2 linked regions of the Diceros bicornis minor genome follow. The protein of the gene in region 1 interacts with the protein of each later gene in a biochemical or structural test. Links are inferred from orthologs where the notes say so. Each region holds a gene or a part of one and is shown in the gene's direction. Other genes may lie near its edges. The genes, in order: SLC9A1 and TESC.

Region 1 (7,215 bases):
AGGCAGAAGTGTGGCTGGCAGTATTTGAGAAATAGCACAGAGGCAATGTGGTTGGAGTGGAGTGAGTGAAGGGGAGATTGGAAGAAGAAGGCATTGCAGGGCTGTGATTTTCTACAACAAAGGAAAGAAAGAAATGAACTCAGTTACTGAGTGCCAACTATGTGCCAGGAACTGGGCTTGACATACAGCGGCATTTAATCCTTGCAATAACCTTACAAGGAAGGTATTATGACCCCACCTACCTTTTATACACATGAACAAACTGAGTGACAGAAACAAAAAGTGACTCGCCCATGATGTACAGCTAGTAAGTGGCCCAGCAGATCCTTTCCTCATACGACACATTATTTGCCATGTATCTGTTGGTGTCATAGCCATAGCAATTCCGTAAAATTCTCATCACTTTCAGTGAAAGGATGCAATGAGAGGATGGGGAGCAGACACAGTCTAAGCAGGGGGAGATGCCGCCCACGGCCCAGGCATCCTGAGACTGTCCAAGATCTTCAGGAAGAAGGGTCTGCAGAGAGTGGCCTCTCTGAGTCAAGAGCAGCGTGGGCCTGGAATAATTAAAAAATGAGTGGTGCCGGCCTGGTGGGGTAGTGGTTAAGTGCGTGCACTGCACTTGGCGACGCAGGGTTTTGCAGGTTCGGATCCTGGGCGCACACCGACGCACCGCTTGTCAAGCTATGCTGTGGTGGCGTCGCACATAAAGCAGAGAAAGATGGGCACAGATGTTAGCCCAGGGTCAATCTTCCTCAGCAGAAAGATGAGGATTTCCATCGGATGTTAGCTCAGAGCTAATCTTCCTCACACACACACAAAAAAAAGTGAGGACTTGCTAAAACAGGGTTACAAATATTGCATTATATTTTAACTGTTTACCTTTAACAAGACCATGCTTTTAACATGCAAATACACAGCAGTATAATTTATCTAAAATTATTAAATTTATATCATGCTGTAAGTGGTATGGTTTGAATATGGGACCAATTTCACAGACCTAAGAGTCTTGCTTCTAGCCTATCAATGTGTCTCTGTAACTGAATGCCTAATTTCACGTGACCCTCACATCAAAAGTCTACATTTGAGGCCCTTGGTACATGTAAATAAAGATAATGAGAGTAAATATATGTGGTACATTGCTGAGTGCTGCTCCAAGGGCTGTATGTACATTGGCTAATATCCTCATAACAGCCCCATGAGATTGGTACTATTATTGCCCACACGTTACGGAGGAAGGAACTGTGGAACAAGGAGGTTGATTGATTTACTCAAGGTCTTATAACTAGTGAGTGGTGTTGCTGAATCTGAACCTAGACAATCTGGCTATCCACGGTAGGCAACCCCTGTGCTTAACTCTTATGCTATACTGCCTGGGCTGGGCCTTGGCCATGGGCTGTCCCAGGTGGTTTCCCTCAGGGCTCTTTCTTGGTACTTTCATGTTGTTATAACCTTCTCCAGGCTGTAGAGGATCTCAGGGCTGGCATTTCCTGGCCCTCTGGGGTTCTGCTACCTCCCAGGCTGGCACCCAAGGACTCACTGAGGCCTGGAATGAGGGAGAGTCAGAGAGTATGGAGGATCAGTGTGCACCAGTGAACGTTGCCCTTGAGACTGGAAAGGACTATAGGTCTGAGGATTCTGGCCCTGTGTCACCTGTGGAAAGTCCCTCCACCAGCCTCATCCTTTCTCTGTCTTCTTTTTTCTACACTGAACCTGTGGTGTTTTGGATATTAGAAAGCTGACTTGAGTCCTGGATCTCCTACTAATAGCTGGGTGACCTTGGCCAAATGGCTTCATGTCTCTGAGTCTTAGTTTTTTCATCTGTAAAATGGAAATAAGAATAGTAGCTACTATTTATTGAGGCCCACTATGCACAAGGACTCAGATGGTCGATAAACCTGGGCACTTGGTTGTGAACTATACAGGACTGAACCATTGTGAGACATTATTGTCATATTCTGATCCTTGCTCTAAATGCTGTTATTCTCTGATTATTTCCATTATAGCTGATGTTCTCCTTTCATTTGCTCCCAGGTGACACAGGCCCTTGGCCTTCTCTGAAGTCTCTTCTAGGCTCTTCCATCATCTCCCAAGTGGCTGGACCTGTGCCAGGAGAATGTGAGAGACAGAGAATTCAGTTTAGTGTTGGCACCTTCAGTCACTGTCACATCACTGTATCATCATTTTATTTATTTATTTATTTTTATAATTTTATTTATTTATTTTTTTCCCCCAAAGCCCCAGTAGATAGTTGTATGTCATAGCTGCACATCCTTCTAGTTGCTGTATGTGGGACGCGGCCTCAGCATGGCTGGAGAAGTGGTGTGTCGGTGCACGCCCGGGATCCGAACCCCCGGCTGCCAGCAGCGGAGCGTGTGCACTTAACCGCTAAGCCACAGGGCCGGCCCATATTATCATTTTAATATAGCTTTTTGTGGAAGAATGGCATTTCTCAAGAAACTTGCCCAAATTATGAGTGCTCGATGAGTTATCACAAAACAACTGTATCTGTGTAACATTTGTAACCACCACCCGGTAAAGAAATAGAACATTATCAGCACCCTAAAACCTCTTGTTGCGCCCCCTTTCTGCCCCCTCCAATCACTCCCACCTCTTTCTTCCTCATGTCTTATTTCTGTGTTGCTAGAGCCCAGCACAAAACCCTGACAAGAGGCCCAGTAAATATTTGCTAAATTGAACTGAACTCTTTTGAAATCATTTTGTGATCTCGAGCTAGTCACTTTGACTTTCTTGGCCTTGATTTACTATTCTGCAAAACAGGGATGTAATGTCAATAGTTGTCAGCCCTAGTTGTACATTAGAATCACCTGGAGGAACTTTTGAAAAAATATCCATCATGCTTGGGCACTATCCTAGAGCAACTGAATCCAAATCTCTGAAGGAGTGTCCCAAGCAATGGTAGTTTTTAAAAGTTTTCCAATGATTCCAGTACACAGCCGTGACCTCTTGAATCTTACCGATTCCAACCAACACTGTATGTTCAAATCTCAGTTCCACTACTGCTAGGGGATGAATTGTGTCCTCTCAAAAGATGTTGAAGTTCTAACCCCCAGTACATGTGAATATAGTCTTATTTGGAAATAGAGTTACTGAAGATGATCAAATTCAGATGAGGTTATTCATGTGGGCCCCTAGTCCGGTCTGACTGGTACCTTGTAAAAAAGGGGAAATTTGGACCCAGAGACAGAGACACAGGGAGATCACCTTGTGAAGTTTGGAGTTGTGCTGCCGCAATCACGGAACACCCAAGATTGTCCACAAACCACCAGGAGCTAGGAGAGAGGCATGGAACAGATTTTCCCTCACAGCTCTCCAAAGGAATTAACTCTGCCAACTCCTTGATTTCAGACCTCTAGCCTCCAGAATACGAGACAATAAATTTCTGTTCTTTAAGCCACCCAGTGTGTGGTACTTTGTTACAGCAGCCCTAGCAAACAGACACAACTATTTACGTAGTAGCTAAGGAACTCTCTTCAGCTGTTTCCTCATCTGCAAAACTGGAACCATAATAGTGGTTCTCTGTGCCAGGCTCCATTCTAAACACCTTACATAGATTATCTCATTTAGTCATCACAGTATCCCTCTGATATAGGTACTCCTAGTATCTCCACTTTATAGATGAGAAAGCTATGGAACAGAGAGGTTAAGTAACTTGCTCAAGGTCACATGTTAACTAAACACATAAAATAATAATACATCCTTCACAAGATTATTGGGACGCCTTCATGAGATTGTGGATGTGGACGTGAAAACATTTTACCCATGTTCGAATCTCTGTAGATTCGGGACTTTTGCCGTCTCTGACTCTCCTTCCTCTGTCTATGCGATACTTCCTCCCCTGGGCGACAGGGGTCGCTGCGCTGCGCGGGCTCTGACAGATCCTTCTAGCCCGCTGCGCTGGCTGCTCGCTGGTGCCTATAAGTAACAGCGCCGGGCTCAGCGAGGCATCAGTCTGCCGCCACCGGGGCTGGGGCCGGGGTCAGGTCTAGATCTGGAGCTGGTCGCGGAGGAACTGAAGCTGGGCCGGGGCGGAGCGGAGCGCCGCGCCGGGGCCGCAAGGAGGGGCGTGTTGTTGCTGGCCCACCGCGAGCCGCCCCCAGCCCGCGCCGAGGCGCCCTCCCGCCAGGCCGCCTGCCTCCGCCTTCCACCTCCCTCCGTTTCCCCGGAATCTCAGCCCGGCGCGCCTGCATCCCGGCCGTTCTCTGGGTGGGGAAGCTCCCGGCCGCTTTCCAGCTTCACTCCTTCCTCGCAGCCTGGGCTCCCAGCCCCCTCTTTTCTTTTCCTGGACAGGGTCCCACCCTCTTCGGTCCCCTTCCTTTAGCTCAGGCTCCCTGCCCCTTCCCTTAAGCCGAGTCAGCTCCTCAAGTCACTTTCCTCGGCCGAGGGTCCCAGCCTTCCCTCTTCCTTTTCCTTGCTTGGGGTTCAACCTATCCTGTCCCTTCCTCTGACCCAAGGTGCAGTCCCTTCCCCACTCCTGCTTTCTCAGGCTTCCAGACCTTTTGGTCTCCTTTTCTGGTCCTTCCTGGGTCCTTGTCCCTTTTCCCCATTTTGGAGTTCTACATCGTGAACCCAGCCTCCCTCCACCTGCAGAGGACTCCTTCCACAAAAATTCCTTTCTAAAACATGAACTTTTCCTAGAGACTACTGCAGTCTCTCTTCCCACCTGCTGACCCCTTGCAACCTATGTCCCAGGTCTTACTCTCACTTTGCTAAGGGTCAAGGCCTACTGGGCGGAGGGAGCAACACAATGCTTCTGTGGTCTGGCATCCCTGGCCTCTCTCCTCCCCGAATCTTCCCTTCGTTGTTCGTGTTGGTAGCCTTGGTGGGGCTGCTACCTGTCCTCAGGAGTCATGGCCTGCAGCCCAGCCCTACTGCCAGCACCATCCGTGGCTCAGAGCCACCACGGGAACGCTCCATTGGGGATGTCACCACCGCCCCACCAGAGCTCACCCCTGAGAGTCGCCCTGTTAACCATTCCGTCACTGAACATAGCATGAAGACTCGAAAGGCCTTTCCAGTCCTGGGCATCGACTACTCACACGTGCGTACACCCTTCGAGATCTCCCTCTGGATCCTGCTGGCCTGCCTCATGAAGATAGGTAAGTCCAGTTTGCTCCACTGCTTCCTCTGCCACCAAATTGTTGAGCTTCTTGCCTCCTCCTTACCACTTGAGGCTGCTCAGGAATAAGGATCTGGACTACCCGTGTAACGTCGGCAACCTCCATTCTGCCATCTTGGTTCTCTTCAAACTCTATCTCTGTGACTTCTATGGTCTGAGGTCCCCCCAAGATTAGAGCCAGCATTGTGCATGGGAGAAAACAGGGTTAGAGCATGGGATGCTTCTGATACGAGATACCTTCAGCAAGGCTTCCAGGCCTGGCAAGTCTCCTTTGGTTGGGCCAGACCCCGAGGGGAGCCAGGCACCAGCTGTGTGTGAGACAGAGAAGAGTGTCTTCCAGCAAGCGGCACAGTCTGCTCTGTCAGCTGCAACCAGTGCATTTCCATGCTTCGTGGGAGAGTGTCCCAGGAGGGAGTGTATTTCTACTTGGCCTGGCTAAGGAGTTTGAGTATAGTGGGGGACCTGTGTGATGGAGACCTAGAAGTGTGGTGGAACATGAGGGATCCCCATATTCTCACCTTCTTTGTCCCCAGAGTGTTATCTGTCAGTTTTGCCTGCCCAGGCTAGTCGGGAGCCCCTGAGTCAGTTTCCGGCCCAGGAATACCATCCCATATACAATTTATGGGACAGGGGGCCCTGGAAATTTCTGAAGTCTGTTTGCGGGTGGAGAGGGAGTGGAGGAAGTTGAAGTGTAGTCTAGCCCCAGCTCACCTCTGGGTTGGCACCCGACTGTGTCTCAAGGTGCTGTCTGGGCTGGCCACTCACGTTGGCCTGCCATTCAGCCAAGTGGGAGATGGACAGGTGGAGGGGCTCAGGATGTTCTGGTCTGAAGAGACTTTGAAATGTTCTTTTTGGGAGAAGGAAACAGAAAAGTCATTCTCTTCCAGAAGGTTGGTCTCCCTGCTAGGCCTGACTACTTTTCTGCAGGGTGATTGATGGAGCTCCCCTGAGTCTGCATAGCCCAGAAGTCCCTGGAAGTGTGTCCAGGGGGGCTTTGAAAGCTGCCTTAGCTTTTTTTACCCCTGGTTTGATGTGGAAGGCATGAGGGCCTGAGACTCTGCTGGTTTGGATTTGGGGAGTTTGTGACTCCTGGCAGGAAGCCTTGTAGCTTGCCCAAGGACATGCAGGAGCTGGCAATGCCAGGCTGGTGTGAGGCAGGCTCTGGGACATGCTGCAGGAGTCCACTCTGTTTTGACAGATCCAGAAGCTGGCTTCCTGGTGCGGGGCTTTAGTGCTGTGACAGTAGCAGGGCCTGTACATGGAACTGGGCCATCAGTACCTATACCCTGATGGCAGCCAGCTTCCTGGAAAAAATCAGGGACTGGGCAAGGGAGCCATGTGTACTGATTCTGACAAATACATGACCTTGAACAAGCTGGGGCCTTTTCCTGAAGGTCTCGTGCACCAGTGAAACTGGCAAGACTCTCTAAATTTGACCATTTCAATTGAGTCATGAAACTTGTATCTTAATTTGTTGTAAGAAACTGAAGTGACTGTGATGTGTCATTTGCCTGTGTGAGACCAGGAGGAGACCTCACAAGCACTGTCTATGGTTTGCTGTCCTCTCTCCAACCACATCTGGCGTTGTGTTAGGGTCTTGGGGCTGGTACCCACACTGCAGGTCTCAGTGCCTCCTGGTGGGATGACAGCATGACCAAAAAGTTCCTACTCTGGGCAGTCAGGAGTTTGTCCCTGCAGGCCTGATATCTCTAGTTCTAACGGGGTCAGACTTGGCCTGCTTTGTCTGTACCAGAACCTGTGCCAGGGACCCTGGGCAGCTGGAGAACAGGGATGGTGCCATGGCAAGGGTACCAGTCTGGAAGTTAGGAAGCTCCCACCTCCCTCTATGACCTTGGGGCAGTCATGTGTCTCCATCTGTCACTTGATCTGTGTGGCCCCTTCCAGGTGTGACATTTCTGCCGTTCCATTGACTTGGGTAATCCGGACAAGTCATTCAGCCTCGGGCCTCAGTTTTTCCCATCGTAAAATGAGGAGGCTGGATATGATCTCTGAGGGCCTTTGCAGCTCCATAAATCTGTATCTCTGGCTTGGAAGGGCATTTTTCTGCCTCTGAA
Region 2 (7,919 bases), on another chromosome or scaffold:
ATAAATAATAGAAAAACATGCTCGAGTCGCCTTCCCCAAAGAGCCCCCAGCTCCTATTTTTAGCCGGTCAGCCCTCCCTCCCGTGGAGCTGCATCCTTCTGCGGTCTGGGCTGTGACGTAGATGCTGGCGCAGGGCAGCCTGGGAGGGCAGGAGGCACTTCACTGGGAGCTGAAGGGTCTGGGAAGCTGGACACCCAGAAGGACCCTCATCCCAGGCAGTCGAGAGGACACGATTTTCCAACTCAGGGGTGAGTTGAAACCTCTCAGAAAACGAAGAGAAGAAACAACTATTCTTTCCCAAGACCGGAAATGATTTAATAAGAAGTGGGGGCTGGACAGAGGTTCAAGTGTGAATTCTGTTCATTTGTCTCCCTAAGAATCGTGGGGAAGAGAGGAATGCAGGGCTAACAGAAAGAGGAGAGCGAGGCGGGCTATACAGTCCTGGATATTTGCCCCCAAGGGAGGGAATGAACAGTTGTGGAGGGTGTGCTGCATTCCAGCCGTTTCACCCTGGCTGAATCCTCTTGATAAAGGTGGGATTGTGGACCTATTATACAGATGAGGACACCACAGTTCAGAGTGGCAAAGGAACGAACGCAAGGGCACACACCAGGAATGGCAGAGCAGGGATCCAACTCAGATCTGAATCTATCTCCTACAGCATGCTGTTGCCCAAGGTTAGCTTAAAAGATCGGGGTGCCTTGGGTGAAAAAGGATTGTTTAAAAAATGACGCAAAGGACAACTTTAATTCAAAGTACAACCCGGGGATGATTCATCTCTGATTCCATTGACATTAAAACCAAGAGACCAAGACATATGAAACCAGCAGAAGGAGGCTGAATGAGCTTAAAACTGTGTGTGTCAGAGCCAAGACGCTGGCATAAGGCACCTGCGGGTCTCCCCATCCAACCACCACCCCCGCCATGCCCAGATACATTTTACAAAAGCATCACTAATCCTTACTTGTTTGAAGTGGTTTAGGTGTGGTCTTCTCTAAGTCAGAGGCCAACGGAGATGGCACTTGGATTCCCCATAAATTTCTTGGGGTCAGTGGCCCAAAGATTAAGAAAAGTGTCTTGTTGCTCCCAGAACATTGCCAAGCCTTGGGGGTACCCCCAAGCTAAGTGATCAGAGGGACAGGAGAGTGAGACGGGTACATTACAGGAACTGCCATTACACAACTTCCTATCTGCTCTCTGATTCTGGTTTACCGCCCATTCTGAGCACCTTGGTTTTCCCATCAATGAAATGTACCTGTGTCGCGTGCCTCTCCTCCAGGATCCCACAGCATCCAGTATCCATTAGTGTACTACCCATTAGTGATGGTCTGCTTCTCTCTGTCCTTCCAGACTCTGGGATCCCTGAGGGTAGAGACTGACTCCTTCACTGTAGTGTCCCAATTTCTGGCCCTCAATAGTGAGTACATGAATGAATGAAGGAACATATGAATAATAATAACAGTCTACTGTGTAGTGGTGTGCTGACTTGTCTCGGACCAGCTTGCAAGAGCGAATTGTTAAACATTCAGGAGTTTTGCAAGCCAGCTATTAAATTATTGGTAGCTTGAAATTGACCACAGTGGGAGTATTTACACCACGGAAATTGGCAAACGCTACACATCAGGGCTTCCTCTCTCCCTTTCAGAGCCTGGCTACCTACACGCTGTTTGAAGCACTTTACAAATATCCACATTTCACCCCCATAAGCACCCTGAGGAAGGCAGCATTATTATTGCCATTTTACAGATGGGGAAACTGAGGCCCAGGGAGGTGAAGTCACTTGCCCAAGTTTGGTTCGGGAGTCTTCTTCCCAGACAGGAATGTGGGAGAGCCGAATGAGGACCATCCTCTCCATCTCTGGGCTCAGCTGCCCTTCCGGGCCTCACAGGTACCAGCCCTTCTAATTGCGGCCACTGTTTTTAATCAGCTCCTCCAGGAGAAGGAGAACACTTCAGCCTGGTGACTGAAGTGTTTGCCAGCCCTCAGAAGGTCACGCTGTGTGATGGGAGGATAAAGATCACCACACGGGGTGCCTCTGTGCCATGGCTCCAGACAACAGATCCAATCAGCCGGGCCAGACCCCATGCAGAGCGCCAGACCTCCTTCGTGCTCTGACGCCGACAGAGCCACTGGGAGGATTGAATTAATGCCGTGATGTCCTGGAACTGGCGGCAGCAGGCTTTGTGTGGACGGAGCCCTGCGGCGTCTGTGCATCATTGCCAGAGGAGGGGGCAACGCCCAGGTAGAGGAGGGTGGGTGCCACTGCGGGGCCCCCAAATCTCACAGATTCGTCTCTCCACCCAGTATTTGCCTTTGGTGTGTGGCTTTGGGACCACAGTTGGGGACAATCATGGACTCCCCGAAGCTCAGCTTAAGGGATAGCAGACTCTCTCCAGGGGCCATTCTGGCTCGAACACTCCAGATCTCCGCGGCCCTGCGAGAGCCCAAGTCAGCCCGTGTTTACCCCTGCCTTGTCACCTCCTGTGTCTCTGTCTCCGCACTCCTTCAAGAGTTCTTAGGAGTGAAAGTGTGGCTGCTGGTTATCCCCGGTTGTGGCTCCAGGACCAGCCAGGGCTCTAAACACAGCAGGGCCTCAATATATGTGCAATGAATAAATGAACGCGCAAACCCCCAAATTGTGCCTTGTTGTCCCCACTTTCCTGCTGCCACAAGGTGTTCCTGATTATTTCTCCAAGCCCTGCAATGAGGAAAAAAATTCTCCGTGGTCAGAACACCCCAGGCTTCCTCTCTTTCAGCTCCCCGCAGGCTGGCGAAGGCGGCTTGTTTGGCAGGAGACCCAGGAGAGCGGATGGGGGCCCTGCGGAGGCCTCTGGGAGGAGGTGATCACGCTGCGATCTGAAGAGGAAGCCCGGCCTGGGGAAGGGGGAGGGGAGGGAGCTCCAGGCCGAACGAACAAGTGTATGTGTTCATCTAGGAGCTGAGGGCGGCCAGTGGGGAGACAAGGTTGACGGTGTAGACAGGTGATGAAGTAAAGACGGGCTCCCTTCACCCCACACACTGGGGGCCTCTCCGTGATCCCCCGAGCGGCAGAGTGAAGCCATGTGCCCCCTCCCTGCCCCAGAGCACTGTCGCAGGTCTTCCTCCCCACCTACCTGCCCTGCCTCTAGCTCTGGGAGCCACCATGCCAAGGGGGAGGAGACACAGTCAGGAGAGCACCATTTTCTGTCTCCCCAGCAGAAAGCCCCATCATTTAATCCTGGGATCATTTAATATAATACAATTCCGGGAACCGATATTGTAAGCCAGAATAAAATCATTCCCAGCAGTTGTGGGTAGTGGGCTGGCTCAGGGGCCCACATCTCCCAAGGGGACCCCTTTCCTGACCCCAGAGGCCAGTCTGGGTTTCTAGAATCCTGACCCGAAAGGCAGTCTCTGGGTCAGCTTTCCGGTTCACTCAGACCAGCCGATGCCCCACAGCCAACATTTCCCCAGCCTGACTAGGCCTCAGCTCCGCCCAAGGGAGTTTTTATAATGCAGCTTCCAGGTGCTGCCCAGCTCTGTGAATGCCACCAGAGGGGAACAGGCAGATACCGCTGCTCTGGCAGGTTTCAGGAGCCCCCTGGTGGCTCTGAAAGGCACCCTGCCCGGGAAAGGGCTGTGACCCTCTGCTTGGGCCTGTGGTCTACAGGTATGGACACCTCCTCCCCAGTGCCCTGGGAAGCTGATGTGGGTGGGCCCATCCAAGTCTCCACCTGGGAGCCCCGAAGGACCCGCGCCCGCACCCCAGCCCTATCAGAGCCTGGCGCCCAGGACAGACACTGTATGCATGCCGATCATTGATGGCCAAGTCACCAAGCACGATGGAGCCCGAAGGCCTGGCCTTGAGAACCAGAAAGTGTGGACTCCGAATTTCTGCCCTGTGTGACCTCCCTGAGAATCAGTCCTCCCTTGTGAAGTGGACATGACTCCACAGAGACGACTTTGTGCTGTGTCCCATGGCAGGCCCTTCTCATAGACATCTCATTAACTATATTATCCCCATTTTAGGAGAAGGAATCATAGTCAGACAGGTGGCCGGACTGGCGCTGGCCACCCAGCCTGGCTACTGAACCCGAGGAATCTTAACGCAGAACTTCGCCCAGTAGGCTCGAGGTCCACCTGCATCGAAGCTCTTGGGCAGTTTGGCTGAAATGCAACCCCCCCCCCCCCGCCCCGGGGGTCCCCGCCTGAGTCAGAATCGGGGGGGCGGACCTCCCTGCTCCTAAAATTTGACAACACCGCCACCCCGAGCTCCTGGGCTGGGCCGCCAGGATGGGCCGGTCTGGCACGTGGGTGTGTCCACTTCAGCAGGGTGCTGGGGAGGCGGAGGGGACTTGGTGGAACGAGCCCCCAACGCGCATTCAAGTTGGAGTCCTATTTTTATATTCCCTTGATTGCTGTTCAGCACAGAACGAATTAATGCTCCCGTCTTCCTTCACTGTCCCAGGGGAGTTTCGCTCCTGAGGTCTGGGAGGATGTGTGCTGGAACCGGGGTGGGGGTGGGCAGGGAAACCTCCCGGGCTCTCACTTTGCCGGAGCCCTCCTACCTGCACCCCAACTCTGCTCACACCTGCTTCTCTCCAGAGCCGGCAAGGGTGCGGAACGGCGAGGCGCGACGAGCACGGCCGCTGCTTTGGGGAGCGAGGAACCTTGGCGGTGGGCTGCTGGGTCCCCCTCCCCGCCGTTTCCGGCCCCGCGCGGGCCGCTCCCCCTGCCCGCAGTGCGCGAAGCCGGCGCGCGCTAGGACCGCGGCGCGCCGCCCGCCGCCGCTATAAGAGGCCGCGCTGGGGCCCCACGCGGAACCGCGGCTGAGACCGGTGCCCGCGTCCCGGCCCGCGCTGGACCCGAGGGCGGACCGGCCGCTGCGCAGGCGACGCCAGCCCGGCGCCTGCGAGGGACGCGCGCCCCCGGGCCCCCGCTGCGGACACCATGGGCGCTGCCCACTCCGCGTCCGAGGAGGTGCGGGAGCTCGTGGGCAAGACCGGCTGTGAGTACCCCGCGGGGCACGGGCGCGGGGACCGGAGCGGGGACCGCCGGCCGGCTGGCTGGCCCGGGGGCTCCCAGCCCGCCGCCGCCGCGCTGTGTGACCTTGGGCGAGTGGCTGGCCCTCTCTGCGCCTCAGTCTCCCCCTCCTTCAAATGGGTCCCCGCCGGCCGCTTGGCAGGCTGCGGCCAGGAGCCCCGCGGCGACGCTGAGTAAGTGCCGCGCCGCTCAGCTTCGGTGCTCTCGGAGTTGGCTGGGAAGCCCCGGGCCTGGGGACTGCGGGCCGGAGAGGGAGCGGGGCCGGGCTCCCCCAGCGCAGGGCGGGCGCCCCGGCCCGGGAGAGCGGGCGTCCGTGGATGCGCGCTGGTGCGCGCCCCGCACCTGAGAGTCGTTTGGCTCCACGGTGCGCAGGGGGCGGGAAGTTCTGAAGTCGGCGGGACCCGCGTGGGAGCCGGGCTCTGGCGCTCCCGGCCGTGTGACGTTAGGCAGGTGAGCCGGGCTCTCTGCGCCTCCCTTCGTCCTCCGTCTGTAAAATGGGTTCAGGCGCCCGCCTCGCCCCGGCTGGCTGGGAGGTTTAAGCGAGGCAGCGCCCGCGACGTTCCTCCAGCTCCCGGGTCTCCGGCCCCGGCGGAGGCTGCGCGCCCCGGGGCGGGGCGCACGGGGAGGCCGGACCTCCGCGCCAGCCGACCGCAGGCCAGTGACAGCGGAAGCGCCCGTCCGCCCGAGTCCAGCCGGGCTGCGCGCTTGACTGGCTTTGGTGGTGGACAGACCGGGTGTGAGCCCTGCCGGCACCGCTTCCTGACGGTGTCACCTTGGGCTAGTCACTCTGCCTCTCTGAGCCTCGGTTTCCTTCTCTCTGGAAGGGGAGTTCTGCTCGTACCTGGGAGATGCTCAAGAAATGGGAGCTGCAGACACTGTGTCCAGGAGGGAGCTGGCTCCCGGCGCCTGCTCTGAGTGTAGTGCAGACAGCCAGCGTCCGTAGTTGATCACCGGAGGGGTGGCCCAGCCTGTGTGTGTGGGCTGAAAGACGACCCCTCCTGACCCCCAATCTAAACACCTCTTTCCAGGAGAATTGGGTGAAAATTACAGAAAGCCGTTAATAACTGGTGTGTGTGTGTGTGTGTGTGTATACATACACATACGTATATGTGTATCTTTCTAGGTACAGATATAAAACTCTGCAACTGGAGAAAAAAGGGTGTGGTGCAGTATATAAATATGGAACCCTTTTTGTTTAAAAAAAGGAGTTAAGAGTATATATTGGGAACTGCTTTATTGGCATCAAGGACTCTGGAAGGAGCCACAAGAAAGTAGGAATAATGAATACTTATTGGGGGATTTGGTGGAGGGGATGAAGGGAGAGTGAGCTTTTCACTGTGAACTTTGTAATGTTTTCGTTGTGAACCATGTGTGAATATTTTACTTCTTCAAAAAGTTTCCTCAAGTCCGATGCGACCCCAAGGTTTAATGTGAGCCAGGAGGTAGGATTTCTCTTTCCTGGGCTTTCTTGGGTTTCCCCTGCTTTTGTTATTTCCTGAGTGTCCTCTGGCTGCCTGGTATCTGCAGGGTGGAGGCGGGGGTTCTCTGCAGCTGGGATCTGCCAGGAAGGGGCGGCTGGCCACCAGCCCCATCTCTCAGGCAGCGCCCACAGCAGGCAGTAGGGGGAATTCCACCCCATTGTGGGTTTGACAGGTGATGAGGCGCAGAGCATGCTGGGAATCTTGTCAGTTTCCTGGGTCCGGTCTCCGCGGGGAAGGCAGATACTGAGCGTTCCTGCTCCGTAGCTTTCCTAGAAGGGGCTGATGTGGCTTCCCTTTTTGCTGCCCAGAACTCAAATTTCACACCCTAAAGAGGGAAGGGAGACTGCAGGGGTCAGGGAAGGGCTTCTGAGGTCAGGCTGTGGGAGATGAACACCTTCAGTCCTCTGAATTCTAAGTAGGTAGAAGGTGCCCCGTAGTCTTCTGAAAGGGTGGCACAGTCTGGACACTTTTACCCATTCAGCAAGTGTTTATCGACCAGGAGCTGGGGATTTAGAGGTGACCCAGAGAGGCTGATGTTCCTGAGGGCAGGCACACGGCATAAACAAATCACCCCATAGGTGTCAAGCTCTGTGAACAAGATACAATACAGTGGCAGGAGAGTTGGGGGAGAGATGGTGAAACATGTCTTTAGGGTGGACCAGGGGGGCCTCTCTGAGGAGGTGATAATGGAGCAGAAATCCAAATAAGGAGACAGCTACGTGAAAATCAGTGGAAAGTGCATTTCGGGCAGAGGGCACAACACGTGCAAAGGCCCTGGGCAGGAAGGAGTTGAGGACAACAAATGAGAATTGTATGTGATGAGGACACAGCCATAATCAGGGCTCAGGTAGTGGCAGGACCCCGATTTAAGGGGTCTTGTTAGGTACGTGGACTTGGGCAAGTCATTTGTGCTCTGTGTGCCCCAATTTCATCCACTGTAAAATGGGGATAGTAGCCATACCTTCCTCCCAATTGTTGGGAAGGAGTAAATGAGAGAATGTATGTAAAGTGTTGAGTATTATTGGTCATGCTTTAAACACATTTGTATGGCCTGGTCACTCTAAGCCACAGCTAAGAGTTAAAACTTTGTGTCACTCTTACCAGCTTCATGAGCGTAAGCAAGTCTCGACCTCTCTGAGCATCGGTGCCCCCATCAATAAGATGATGTATGTATGTATCTATTTGTGAAGTACTCGGCTTGGCATGGGAACATCGGCTCCCAGGATCCTGAGGGCTGGGCAGAACCCTTGGGAAGCATCCCTGAGATGGGGGAAGAGCCTAGGGCCAGGGCAGCCAGAGAGCAGGCTGTGCCCACAGGGTTGCTAGGCTCCCCTCGCCTCTCTGAGCATCAAGGTGGTCCCTGATTTGAAGAATCAGCCTGGTGCCTTCCTGAGGACTCCATCCAGAAACGATGAG

The links.
Region 2: the proteins of SLC9A1 (region 1) and TESC form a complex in vitro, tested with the Homo sapiens proteins (4 studies listed by BioGRID and IntAct, with this or other methods). The link is inferred for Diceros bicornis minor from reciprocal best matches to the Homo sapiens genes SLC9A1 and TESC.

Annotation. Positions count from the first base shown.
Region 1 is NC_080752.1:42,843,575-42,850,789, reverse strand, and holds the start of SLC9A1 (sodium/hydrogen exchanger 1), read left to right. Parts: upstream 1-3,976; 5' UTR 3,977-4,768; coding exon 4,769-5,120; intron 5,121-7,215. UniProt on the Homo sapiens protein: Electroneutral Na(+) /H(+) antiporter that extrudes Na(+) in exchange for external protons driven by the inward sodium ion chemical gradient, protecting cells from acidification that occurs from metabolism.
Region 2 is NC_080774.1:14,318,953-14,326,871, reverse strand, and holds the start of TESC (calcineurin B homologous protein 3), read left to right. Parts: upstream 1-4,826; 5' UTR 4,827-4,929; coding exon 4,930-4,987; intron 4,988-7,919. UniProt on the Homo sapiens protein: Functions as an integral cofactor in cell pH regulation by controlling plasma membrane-type Na(+)/H(+) exchange activity. Promotes the maturation, transport, cell surface stability and exchange activity of SLC9A1/NHE1 at the plasma membrane.